2 linked regions of the Arabidopsis thaliana genome follow. The protein of the gene in region 1 purifies or fractionates together with the protein of each later gene. This does not show direct contact. Each region holds a gene or a part of one and is shown in the gene's direction. Other genes may lie near its edges.

Region 1 (6,341 bases):
ATCATTATAAAAAATAATTAGAGTTTTTTCGCATATGCCATAATTTGATTTTTTAAAAACGAATATAAACTGTTCAATACATGAAAAAATATTATAACGGGTGAAAATAGATTTAAGAAAACTTTCTACTGAGTAACGGGTCATAATTTGAAATATTTATATTCAATTTCATACATATTATATTGAAAATTTATAATCTTATATACTACAATAATTAAAAACATATTAGATTTTCTTATATGTATGATGTGATTCAATTTTTAATACAAGCTGGAAAATCTTAGAATTGACGGGTTTAGATCGATATTAATACAAGATGGTATACTACAGGTGAAACTCTTAAATTAGCAATCAAACTACAAGTGTATAATCTTAAACACTAAACAATATACATAATATTAACAAAACATATACAACTCACAGTTTAATATACATTTAAAATCAAATAAAATAATATCATATATTTTTAAATCATCTTTACAATAAAAGTTTTTAGTTTAACTAAAATATAAGTCTACCTGCGGTATACAGCAGGTTAATATCTAGATTATAGGGCTTATTGGATCTAAAGATGGGTCATCAAATATTTCCTAAACTGAAGCAAAATATATTGAATATTCAAATATCTATCTGTTACCAAATTATAAACAAATAAGTTCGTAAAATAATTTAATATTTTATATACGAAATTAATTAAATCTTAATCACATAAAAATTAGCAAAACAAAAAGTATTCAACAATTAAAAAATTATCAAATCTCTGTGTTATATAAGTTTTGATACTATATTCGAATAAAATGTAATATACTTTTTCAATTTGTATTCTTTAACAAATTTAAGCTAACTAATATATTTGCTTTTTTGGTGGATTTGGGTAAAAGTGCATTCAGGTCATATGATACATTTTCCTATTGAATAAATATGGTGCACTCCTATGTTATTAGTTAAAATGTTTAGATTATAATTCAGAGTCATATCATTAATAAAATTAATATTAATAAAATAAATTGCTTTTTGGAAGACGGATTTGAAGGGACGGGTTTTTGAATCAACATTAATAAAAAAGTAAAATATAACTAATCCACCGTTTCAATACGGGTTAAATCTTTAATTTATTATTTTTTAAAACTACTAATATTAAACATATCAAATCATCCTAATTTAGAAAAGATTATATAAAACCAAAAATGTTATGTGGTATGTATAATATTACTATATATAAAATTAAACTATAAAATATAAATGTATTAGAGAATGATACAATTTGCAAAGCTTTTATATATAAAAAATAATTCTTAAATTTTAAAAATTACTACTTTAAAAAAAAAATCATGGGACGGGTAAGAAATTACATAACGGATTTTATTTTAGAATTGGGTTATATGGTGGATGTATTTGAATCAATATTTATAAAATATTAAAATATTATTAATATGATGTTTTAATAGGGGTTAAAACTTCAGTTTTTTAACAATTGTCTCATGGATTCGTGGTATAACGTTACCTAATAACAATTTTAAACTGTAAAATATTAATATTTTATAAAATTAAAATTTGCAAGTTTTAATATATTACTTTAAAAAAAAATCGTCTCGCGGTATACCGCGGTTTAAAATCTAGTAACAAAATATTTGAAGTACACACTAAACCAACTCAGTAATCTAATTAAGTAAATACAGAATGGACATATTTTTTGATAATTTTCAATTATTATTAAAATTCTTCAGTAAACAGATTTTTAATGAAAAAGATGATTAGATGATGTTTTGACGGTTGAAATTGGCTATAGGTTATATAGTTTAGATTTGTTCAGATTGATAAATAGTCTAAAAACCACTTTGAATAAATATTAGGATTGGGCCAAGCCCATAACACAATATTGGGTCAGATTTTAGTACATATTATGGGCCTATGTTAGCAAGATATCACCGAGTACGTAGCAACTTAGATTCTAAAGTCTAAACTAAACAAAATCGTAAATAAACTGAGAAAAAGCCTCCGTCTCCTCCTCTCTCTCTATTCATCAGCCTCAACCTCTCTTTCGTCGTCGACTCAGTTTCCGATTTAGGGTTACCCAATCTTCGCCATGTATCGCACGGCAGCTTCACGAGCCAGGGCTCTTAAGGTACATCCTTATTCCTTTTTACAATTTTACCCTTTTATCCTGTTCCTGGAAGATTCTGGAACGATTTGGTCCGATTCAGTGAATTAACAGATCTGGATTCAAATTCTTTCGTTTGTAGTTACTTCTATAGGTTACAATGATCTCTTCTCTGATTGGTTAAAGTCAATCCATTGGTTTAGATTATAACTCATCTGATTTTCGATTTAAGAGAAATGATTTCGATTATGATTCTTCTTATTGTCCTTTGATTGATACCATAGAAAAGATTGGTTTCTTATTATGTGATGTATTGTGATTGTGTGTTATATAGGGAGTTCTTACTCGTAGTTTGAGACCAGCGCGTTATGCTAGTTCTAGTGCTGTTGCGGAGACGAGTTCGTCAACGCCGGCTTACTTGAGCTGGTTGAGTGGTGGGTCTCGTGCTGCGCTTACTTCATTGGATATGCCTCTACAAGGTGTTTCTCTTCCTCCGCCGCTTGCTGATAAAGTCGAGCCGAGCAAACTTCAGATCACTACTCTTCCAAATGGTCTTAAGATAGCCTCAGAGACGACTCCGGTAAATAAAAGAACGAATTTTAATGTCTGATTTCACTCCTGAAAATGTGAACTGAAGAAAGTTAATGTTGTGTGCAGAATCCGGCAGCTTCGATTGGTTTATATGTTGATTGCGGTTCTATTTATGAGGCGCCTTATTTCCATGGAGCTACACATTTGCTTGAAAGAATGGCTTTCAAGAGCACGTTGAACAGAACTCATTTTCGTCTTGTGAGGGAAATTGAGGCTATTGGAGGCAACACATCCGCTTCTGCGTCTCGAGAGCAAATGAGTTACACTATTGATGCTCTTAAGACCTATGTCCCTGAAATGGTTGAAGTTCTTATTGACAGTGTTAGAAACCCTGCTTTCTTGGACTGGGAAGTGAATGAAGAGGTAGATCATTTTTTTTTTCCTTTTGTATTATTCTGATAACTGTGTTGAAACTTTTATGTGACTTTTAGCCATGTGTCGATGATCTTTTCCGCAGCTACGGAAGATGAAGGTAGAGATAGCGGAACTTGCAAAGAACCCTATGGGTTTCCTCTTGGAGGCCATTCATTCTGCTGGTTACTCTGGTCCATTGGCAAGTCCTCTGTACGCACCGGAGTCTGCTTTAGATAGATTGAATGGGGAGCTCTTGGAAGAGTTTATGACTGTAAGAATGCATGAGCTTTTGTGAACCATCTACGTCTCAGCGATTTCAAAATTACAATCCTATTTATTTGTCTTTTTGACTCAATTTATCTGGGAATTTCAGGAGAATTTCACTGCTGCACGGATGGTATTGGCGGCAAGTGGAGTAGAACATGAGGAACTTTTAAAAGTTGCTGAGCCATTAACTTCTGACCTTCCTAATGTACCACCCCAATTGGCTCCAAAATCTCAGTATGTCGGTGGAGATTTTCGCCAACATACTGGTGGAGAGGTAGGTATTCATGACAGATTTCCCATCACTGGACAAGTGTGTCTGAGATGAAGGTGTTTCTATGTCACATTTCTTATTGAGCTTTTGTTGTTCCATTTTCAGGCTACACACTTTGCGGTTGCTTTCGAGGTGCCTGGCTGGAATAACGAGAAAGAAGCAGTCACCGCCACTGTTCTCCAGGTGTCTAATTGAATTTTACTTTTTGGTTGCTTTAACTTTCACTTGTTTCGATCAAATTTTTTTTACTGGCGAAAAAGTAATAAAATGTAATCTAATTGCTATTAGATGCTTATGGGAGGAGGTGGCTCATTCTCTGCGGGAGGTCCTGGAAAAGGAATGCACTCGTGGCTTTGTAAGTCAAATCTTGTATTTCTTTTTGGCCTATTCTAGTTTTGTTTATTGAACTAGTTCACGGACCATACTCTCGCACTGCTAAGCTATCAGTAATAGTGATACAAGTTCTTATGTCTGGTTACAGATCGCCGTGTTCTAAACGAATATCAGGAGGTTCAGTCATGCACTGCATTCACTAGCATCTTTAACGACACCGGGTTGTTTGGAATCTATGGTTGCTCGGTAAGTTCAACAATCCTGATGTCGCTTTCTATGTTTTTCCTTTCATTACTTATCCACATTTTTCTATTGATGAGATGTGTAACAACGGAATACCAATTTTTGTGGTTAAGCTTAAGAAATATTGACTTTGAGGTTAAAGTGATGTCCAAGTTTTTTTAGCTGAAAAATTCATTGCCGGATATGTGTTTCGGTAATATGTGTTAGCTGATAGGGGATTTGTGTCTTTGAGTGCAGAGTCCTCAATTCGCTGCAAAAGCAATTGAATTAGCAGCTAAAGAACTCAAAGATGTTGCAGGAGGAAAAGGTTTGCAGTTTTGTTTCTTCCATTATCACTTAATCTAACAAGTTGAAACCATTCTCATACATCTATGAAACATTTTCCTTGTGTTCTTATGTTGGACAGTTAACCAGGCACATCTTGATCGTGCCAAGGCAGCCACAAAATCTGCAGTTCTGATGAATTTGGAATCTCGGGTATATTTTTAACTCTCGCACCCTCTACTTACATAAAAATACTTAAATGTTGCCAATTTGTTTAACTTGATCCAAACCATTATATGTTATGAATGTGTTCAAACGGTTTTCCTGTGCCAGATGATTGCAGCAGAAGACATTGGTAGACAGATACTTACATACGGAGAGAGGTATGTATACGCAGAACTTCATTTGAAAACCCGAAGAAGTTCACTAGATCTCCATAGTTTTCTTCAATTCCAGACACATCATAATTTGTGGTTTTTACAAAATCTTGCAGGAAACCAGTTGATCAATTCTTGAAGTCAGTAGACCAACTAACCTTGAAAGACATTGCAGACTTCACCAGCAAGGTTATTTCAAAGCCTTTGACAATGGGTTCCTTTGGAGATGGTAAACAACTTTCACTTTTTTCTTATCAATCTTTTACAAACCAAGATCTAGTGTCTTAATATTGTTTATCGTGTTTTTGTTTTTGGCAGTGTTGGCTGTTCCGAGCTATGACACAATAAGCAGCAAATTTCGTTGAAGCAAAACAAACAATTTGCCAAATCAACAATATTTTGGGACTTGTAAAATAAAGAAGATCTTGGGGAGAAGAAGACCCAACCAATTTTAATTTTAATTTTTTTTTTTACAATTACAGTTTCGTATTTTTATGAAATGGATTTTGTTTCCATCGACAGATATAAATGACTGGATTTTGTCCGGTTTGTCTCTCCAATTTTCAGGAGTATTTGTATTCCAATAAATAATCTTTTACTACGTGTAATGCAAACAACTTCAGTGGTACAATTAGAACTGTGTCAGTTTTTATGCAAGTGTTCTCAATTTTGCATATATGTTACCGGAGAATGTTGAGTAGACGTAAGGAACGGGGTTACTTTGCGGAGATAGTGAAATCAGATAGCTGCTTGGAGAAAGTGAAGTCTCGGCTTCTTAATGCAGTGCGGTTTTAGCGATAAAGCAGAATGAATTAAACTTGGATTTGGAGAATGGAAAGAGTTTCCAGGGAGGAGAAGGTAAGAAAAGACTAAGCGTGTCTTGCGGGGATTGATCAGGAGGAGGCAAAGGAAGGCAAAATGGGACGAGGAGGAACAGTAAGAAGCGAGAGTTCCGGGATTCCAAGTTTGTTCATGGTGGTAGGAGAGGGATGAGCAAGCATAGCACTGTAAAGAGTTCGATCATCTACAACTTCAACACTTTACAGTTATAAACTTTCGTTTATGTTTTTAGAAAGTGTTATTTTTTTGGGATAATTGTAAACTTCGAACGATGGATAATTTAAAAATGAATAGAAATTGTAATGTAAAAAAACACACGAAATCAGTGCTTTTTGTCTTAATTAAAAAGACCAGCTTGCAAAGTCACGCAACGTCGAAGCTCTAACTTTCTCTTCTAAAAGTGGCTTACTTTGGTCGCAAAGACACAAATTTTAAGGAAGAAAAAAAAACAAAACAAAAGCCAGATAATTTACTTGGGAGAAATAGGTTCGATAATTCGATTTTTTCGATGAATTAGAGTAACCTTGGGAGCAAAATGCGACCACGCTTCGTCATCTTCTACACAATTCCAAGAGAAACGAGTAGAAATCGTCAGTTTGGGATATTTTGTGGTTTTATGATTTATAGGAACGGGTTGAATCCTTAAACTGTTGAATCCTTGATATTTGTTTGAAGTACTCTTCATCTACTTTCCTCACAA
Region 2 (5,517 bases), on another chromosome or scaffold:
ATGTATGGTCCAACACATAATATACAGTATTAAATTTTGACGGCCGGCAACTATAGGCGAAGAAACACACACGTTGTTGAATAGAAGCAATGTGAATATATCTTTACCCACATAGATGCATACACATAGGTCCATATGATAAGTTAAATGGTATGTTTATTTCCCCAATTTTCTTTTATTTTTAGTTGAGATTTTTATATTATATGAACGCATGGGTCCTACGTAAACACACAATATGCTGTTTCACCTTATTCGAAGGCTCTTATTGGTCCTCGTAATCTCCGACCAATCAAATTGCACTATGTGTCCTCCATTTCTCACTTGAAAAGCTGTTATGTCATGACTCATCAAACATTCATACTTACATATGCATGTCTACGTTGAGCACGAAAAAAGAAGAAGGAATTATGCGCATCATTAGCATGCCGATATATGTGAGTAAACGAATAAGAAATGTTAGCGATCTAATGATATTTGCAGACATAATATAGTTGTTAAAAAAAAGAAAAAGACTAATGTATTAATTAATTGTTAAATAAAACAAGCAAAAACTGAAACGAGTAGAGTTTTTATTTTTTAATAGATTTTATCAAAAAAAAAAGACTGCGTCTGCATGGAGTAATTAATACTGCGTTGAATTATAATTTTGTTTAGGTGTTTTGAATAGTTTTTTTTAATCTATATTTTCACAACAACTTTTGTTAATATAGTCCAGATGGATGCCACATAACAAAAGGTTTTTTTCTAGTAACAAAACAGGATTAGTAACTAGGCATACACTGATACACATTCGGTTCGGTTCAATTCTTCGGGTTTTGGGTTATTCGTTTTTAGCTTTTTAGCATCCATAAGGAAACCGAATGTTTTTCAGTTCAGTTAGTCTTCTTTCTTTGTTTTGTGTTACAAATTAAGCGAGCAAGTTAGCTCTCCAGTTTATAATCTCTCTTTGTTGTCACTTTTTGGTATGTAACTTACTAACTTGTGTTGTTGTCATATGAAGAGAAGAATGGGGGACCAAGGATGAAGGTAAGGTTCGGTTCTTTGAGTATTTTGGTTTCTTTTTGGGTACTTCAAGTAAAAATATATAAACCGTAAAAATATCCAAACCTTTGGAGGCTGCTGGTGATGCTTTAATTTATTCCAAATTGTTGAAATATTGTTGAAAACATAGTTTAAAACAAGTATTTCTAGGTCTTGTGGTACATAAAGTGTTCCAGGGATTTTTTCTCGCTGAAGTTCGATGTTTTGGGAAAAAGAGAGTACAAAGCTTGGTTCCCGCAGTTAAGGGCCATTTGACCGTGAGTCTTAGTATTATTTTCCTTTGTGATTGTGGTAGATTGCTTGTTTGTTCTTTTTAAAATTTCTCTCTGACTTTTTGTCGGATATGCGAGACATATGTTTAGTAGATGAAGCATAGTTTCTGACTCGGTCGATGGTTAAGTTACTTAACTTAAGTATGATTCCACTTGATAGTAAAATGTGATTATTCCAGCTAATCACGCATATCACATCAGAATGATTAATGGTCCTTAGATCAAAAATTATCCACAGTTGTAATTAACATCTCATTATCAAGATCATATATTAATAGCACAAGTGATTAGAAGTGAAGCTTCCTCCTAAGAAGTTTCAAAAGTTGTGATTGCCAAAACTTTTTTTAAAGCAAAATCGTGTTTTCAAATTTTCACTGTTTGTTTATATATATAATATGAAATGATTAGACCATTAAGCCAGTTTGAAGTACAAACATTGTCACTAGTATGATAATTCAAACATTTTTTTAATTATCTCCATATTGATTTTTTAAAATCCAACCAAGTCTACTTCTGGTGATGTATGATCCTAAAGTCATATGTTTTACGTTGCATTCGGAAGATTTTTCTTCTCAAAGATAATAAAGATCCACCAAGCTTTTAAACTTTTCAAGTGTTATCTACTTCGACATTTTCTGGGCTCAAGCAGTACGTTGTTGGCCCATTAAGGCCCAAATAAGTAAAACTGTGGTCGTGTGTCTAGCAGCCGCTGTGTCATCGTGGAACTCCCATTTTCTCTCTTTTACTTGTTCGTTCCCAAACTCTTCTCCCTCGATCGTCTCCGTCGCCGATCTCGTTTCTTCATTTTCCGGTGAGATTCTCTCTCTATTTCTCTGTATATCTCGTATTCGAAACCTTCGTTTTCTTCTTTGACATTTGATTGATCAGAGTTATCTATATTCGTCGGATCTGTGTAGACTCAAATTTTCTAGGGCTTGTTCGCTTTTGTTTATTCGTATACGTGTTGTGAAATCGCATTTTCACTGAATCAGTATTCTGATTCAATTTCTTTGTTTCTTCAGCGTGTTGATTGGTACAAAGGTTTAATCAAATGGTTGGAGGAGGAGTTATCCAGCAAATTCTTAGGAGGAAGCTTCACTCCCAATCACTTGTGAGATTTTTTCCAGTCTTAATTTTACATTCTCTTCATTTCTATTTTGATTTACGATTTCAGCTTGGGATCTGTTTTTAAGACATTTTTTTCGGTTCTGTGGTTAAAGATTTGTGTTTTGTGACACTGATGCTCATTAGCTAATGATTTCTTTGTGAAATTTTTCATTTTTTGGAACATAAGACAGGAGACAATGATTTATGTATAGCTTCTGCTTCAATGTCAAATCCTAGTAGAATAGTAGAATGCAGCAATCTTTTGAAAGTCCATTTGGTTAGCATATAACTGAGTTGGTTTGCGGCGAAGTTTTGACTGAGCATTGGTTTTGTGTTATCCTGCAGGCAACTCCGGTTTTGTCTTGGTTTTCTTCGAAGAAAGCTCATGAGGATGCTGGTTCTTCTGGTGTAAGAGCACTTGCCTTGTTGGGTGCTGGTGTTACAGGACTGTTGAGTTTTTCTACAGTAGCATCTGCTGATGAGGCTGAACATGGATTGGAGAGTCCAGAGTACCCTTGGCCTCATGATGGCATTCTTAGCTCATATGACCATGCTTCGTGAGTATTGTCACCACTCTCTCATCTTCTTGTCTGGTTAATAGCATCATTTTATCATTTTCTTATAGATTTTTTTTTGCTTTTATAAGTTAACGTCCTTTCAAGCAATTTTTCAATGAAAAAGGAAATTTTCTTAGAATTGTAAATTTCTTTGAATCAAAAAGTCTATCATGCGTGAATCAAGCGTTTGTATGAGTCTTTGTATAGAAGGAAAAGAAATCATACATAAAATAAGGGGCTTGTTGCTGCCTTTTTTTAATAAAACGATTCAAGATCACCGAAGTCATGTCTAAACCTAAAGAAAGTGACTATCCTGCTACCCTAATATTAGACTGTGAAACTTCAGTGAAATTTTTGTACTGTATGAATTATTGAAAGGTTGATGTTGTATGAGCAGGATCCGTCGTGGGCATCAAGTTTATCAGCAAGTCTGTGCATCATGCCATTCAATGTCTCTGATCTCATACCGAGACTTGGTGGGTGTCGCCTACACAGAGGAAGAGGCAAAGGCAATGGCAGCTGAAATCGAGGTAGTAGATGGACCTAATGATGAGGGTGAGATGTTCACCCGCCCTGGTAAACTCAGTGACCGGTTTCCTCAGCCATATGCAAATGAATCAGCTGCAAGGTTTGCTAATGGTGGAGCGTATCCTCCTGATCTAAGTCTTATAACTAAGGTCTGCTGCTGCTACTTTACTTTAACTGAACATCTGTAGCAAACTTGTGTTTTGTGTTTTAAATAGTTTTAATGTTCTGCCTTCCAGGCACGTCACAATGGTCCAAACTATGTCTTTGCGCTTCTGACTGGTTACCGTGATCCCCCTGCTGGCATATCGGTAAGTTTCTCTCATTTTCCACATTGAACTTCTTCGAATTCAAAGTGCTGGTTATGAAAAATCCGATGATAACTGTACAGATTAGAGAGGGGTTACACTACAATCCTTATTTCCCTGGGGGAGCAATTGCTATGCCGAAAATGCTCAATGATGAAGCTGTTGAGTATGAAGATGGTGTCCCCGCCACAGAGGCACAGGTTATTTTTCCTCCACTTAAAATATAAGAACATAAATCTTTATGCCTTATGGTACTGTCCTTTCTCAGTGTCATGATATAAACTTTACTTTACGGTGCAGATGGGTAAAGATATTGTATCATTCTTGGCCTGGGCAGCTGAACCAGAAATGGAAGAGAGGAAACTGGTAGGTTTATCTTTCTCTGTTCGCTGGTGAACATTGTATTTTCTCCCTAGACTATGCAATTAATACTAGATTTAGTTTATGATCGATCAAGTTGACTTAGAGAACCAATTGTTGTACCAAGTGTGAAGTGCTACTAGTTCTTGGTCTGCTACTAAGATAATAACATTTAGATATGCTGTGAACACAGTTTGACTCGTTTTGCAGACACAAACCTCAGCTTCCAGACCGATACAAAGAATTGACTTTTTTTTGAGGTTACATTTTACATGGCGGTTAATGTTGGTTTCACTATTTGCAGATGGGTTTCAAATGGATATTCCTACTCTCTCTCGCTCTTCTCCAAGCTGCTTACTACAGGCGACTAAAATGGTCGGTTCTCAAGTCCCGCAAGCTGGTTCTTGACGTGGTTAACTAAAGCGCCGCTGAAAAGCTTTTGCATTGGCCTGGCCACACACAGTCGTATTTTCAACAAAGGATGTTAAATAGAGAAGAGCCTTTCTCTGGGTAATAACGTATCATCATTTTTATGTGTCATAAAAATCTTTGATGAGACCAGTTCTCACCTGAAGGTGAAAAGACCTCATCGTTCTTCTTTTTCCTTCGATTATTACTAGAGAGTTTTATGAGGATAATCACGAAAACTTGTTTTTTTCGCCTCATAATAATCACACATGATTTTGAGATTATATCATTTGTTATGTTTTTCCTCTTGTCTCAATAAAAAATAACTTTGTACTCTGATTTTGTTGTCTATTTTCGGCATTTCTTGCATCTGGCTTTGGTTGCATGAGGAGAATTTATTTCAGGTATAACAAAAACACAATTAATGGTACTCATTTTTATTTGTATGGTATATATGGATATTATAACAGAAAAGTAGTAATAATAATCGACAAAATTTCAACACATTATACTGAAAAACTTTTACAAATGATTTTCTCCAATTGCCCTGGTAAATATATAATTGCTTATTCTTCTTCTCTGGAATAAATATCACCTAATGACCTCCAAATTTATAACCTATGATCAAATGTAACTATAAATAGAGAGTTTTACTCTTATGGTCGGTCTTACCATTACGAACTTCCTTTTGCATTCCCGATCAAGCTCTCACTGGCTTTTGCAGAACAGCTGAGAGATAAACTTGTGCATCAGCCTTCTCTCCAATAACCCATTTAAGCTTCTTATACCCAAACCTCTCAATCATACGTGTAAGTTCTTTCTTCTTCTCATCATTAGCACAATAGAAGTTATCCAACCAGAACAATCCACGGGGTTTCAAAACCCGATCAAGATCGAACATCAAGAACTCTAGCTTCTCCGCTTTACCCTCAACATCTA

What was found.
Region 2: the proteins of AT1G51980 (region 1) and AT3G27240 fractionate together in Arabidopsis thaliana (co-fractionation; one large-scale study listed by BioGRID). This does not show direct contact.

What each region holds. Positions count from the first base shown.
Region 1 is NC_003070.9:19,322,517-19,328,857, reverse strand, and holds AT1G51980 (Insulinase (Peptidase family M16) protein), read left to right. Parts: upstream 1-1,939; 5' UTR 1,940-2,086; coding exon 2,087-2,125; intron 2,126-2,435; coding exon 2,436-2,681; intron 2,682-2,758; coding exon 2,759-3,055; intron 3,056-3,149; coding exon 3,150-3,317; intron 3,318-3,419; coding exon 3,420-3,587; intron 3,588-3,689; coding exon 3,690-3,767; intron 3,768-3,872; coding exon 3,873-3,939; intron 3,940-4,065; coding exon 4,066-4,163; intron 4,164-4,397; coding exon 4,398-4,467; intron 4,468-4,566; coding exon 4,567-4,637; intron 4,638-4,757; coding exon 4,758-4,807; intron 4,808-4,917; coding exon 4,918-5,030; intron 5,031-5,119; coding exon 5,120-5,166; 3' UTR 5,167-5,803; downstream 5,804-6,341. UniProt on the Arabidopsis thaliana protein: Substrate recognition and binding subunit of the essential mitochondrial processing protease (MPP), which cleaves the mitochondrial sequence off newly imported precursors proteins.
Region 2 is NC_003074.8:10,055,218-10,060,734, reverse strand, and holds AT3G27240 (Cytochrome C1 family), read left to right. Parts: upstream 1-1,961; 5' UTR 1,962-2,124; intron 2,125-2,335; 5' UTR 2,336-2,364; coding exon 2,365-2,424; intron 2,425-2,765; coding exon 2,766-2,977; intron 2,978-3,374; coding exon 3,375-3,654; intron 3,655-3,741; coding exon 3,742-3,813; intron 3,814-3,893; coding exon 3,894-4,010; intron 4,011-4,110; coding exon 4,111-4,176; intron 4,177-4,474; coding exon 4,475-4,591; 3' UTR 4,592-5,005; downstream 5,006-5,517. Other genes in the region: AT3G27230 (S-adenosyl-L-methionine-dependent methyltransferases superfamily protein), read right to left, coding at 5,279-5,517. UniProt on the Arabidopsis thaliana protein: Component of the ubiquinol-cytochrome c oxidoreductase, a multisubunit transmembrane complex that is part of the mitochondrial electron transport chain which drives oxidative phosphorylation.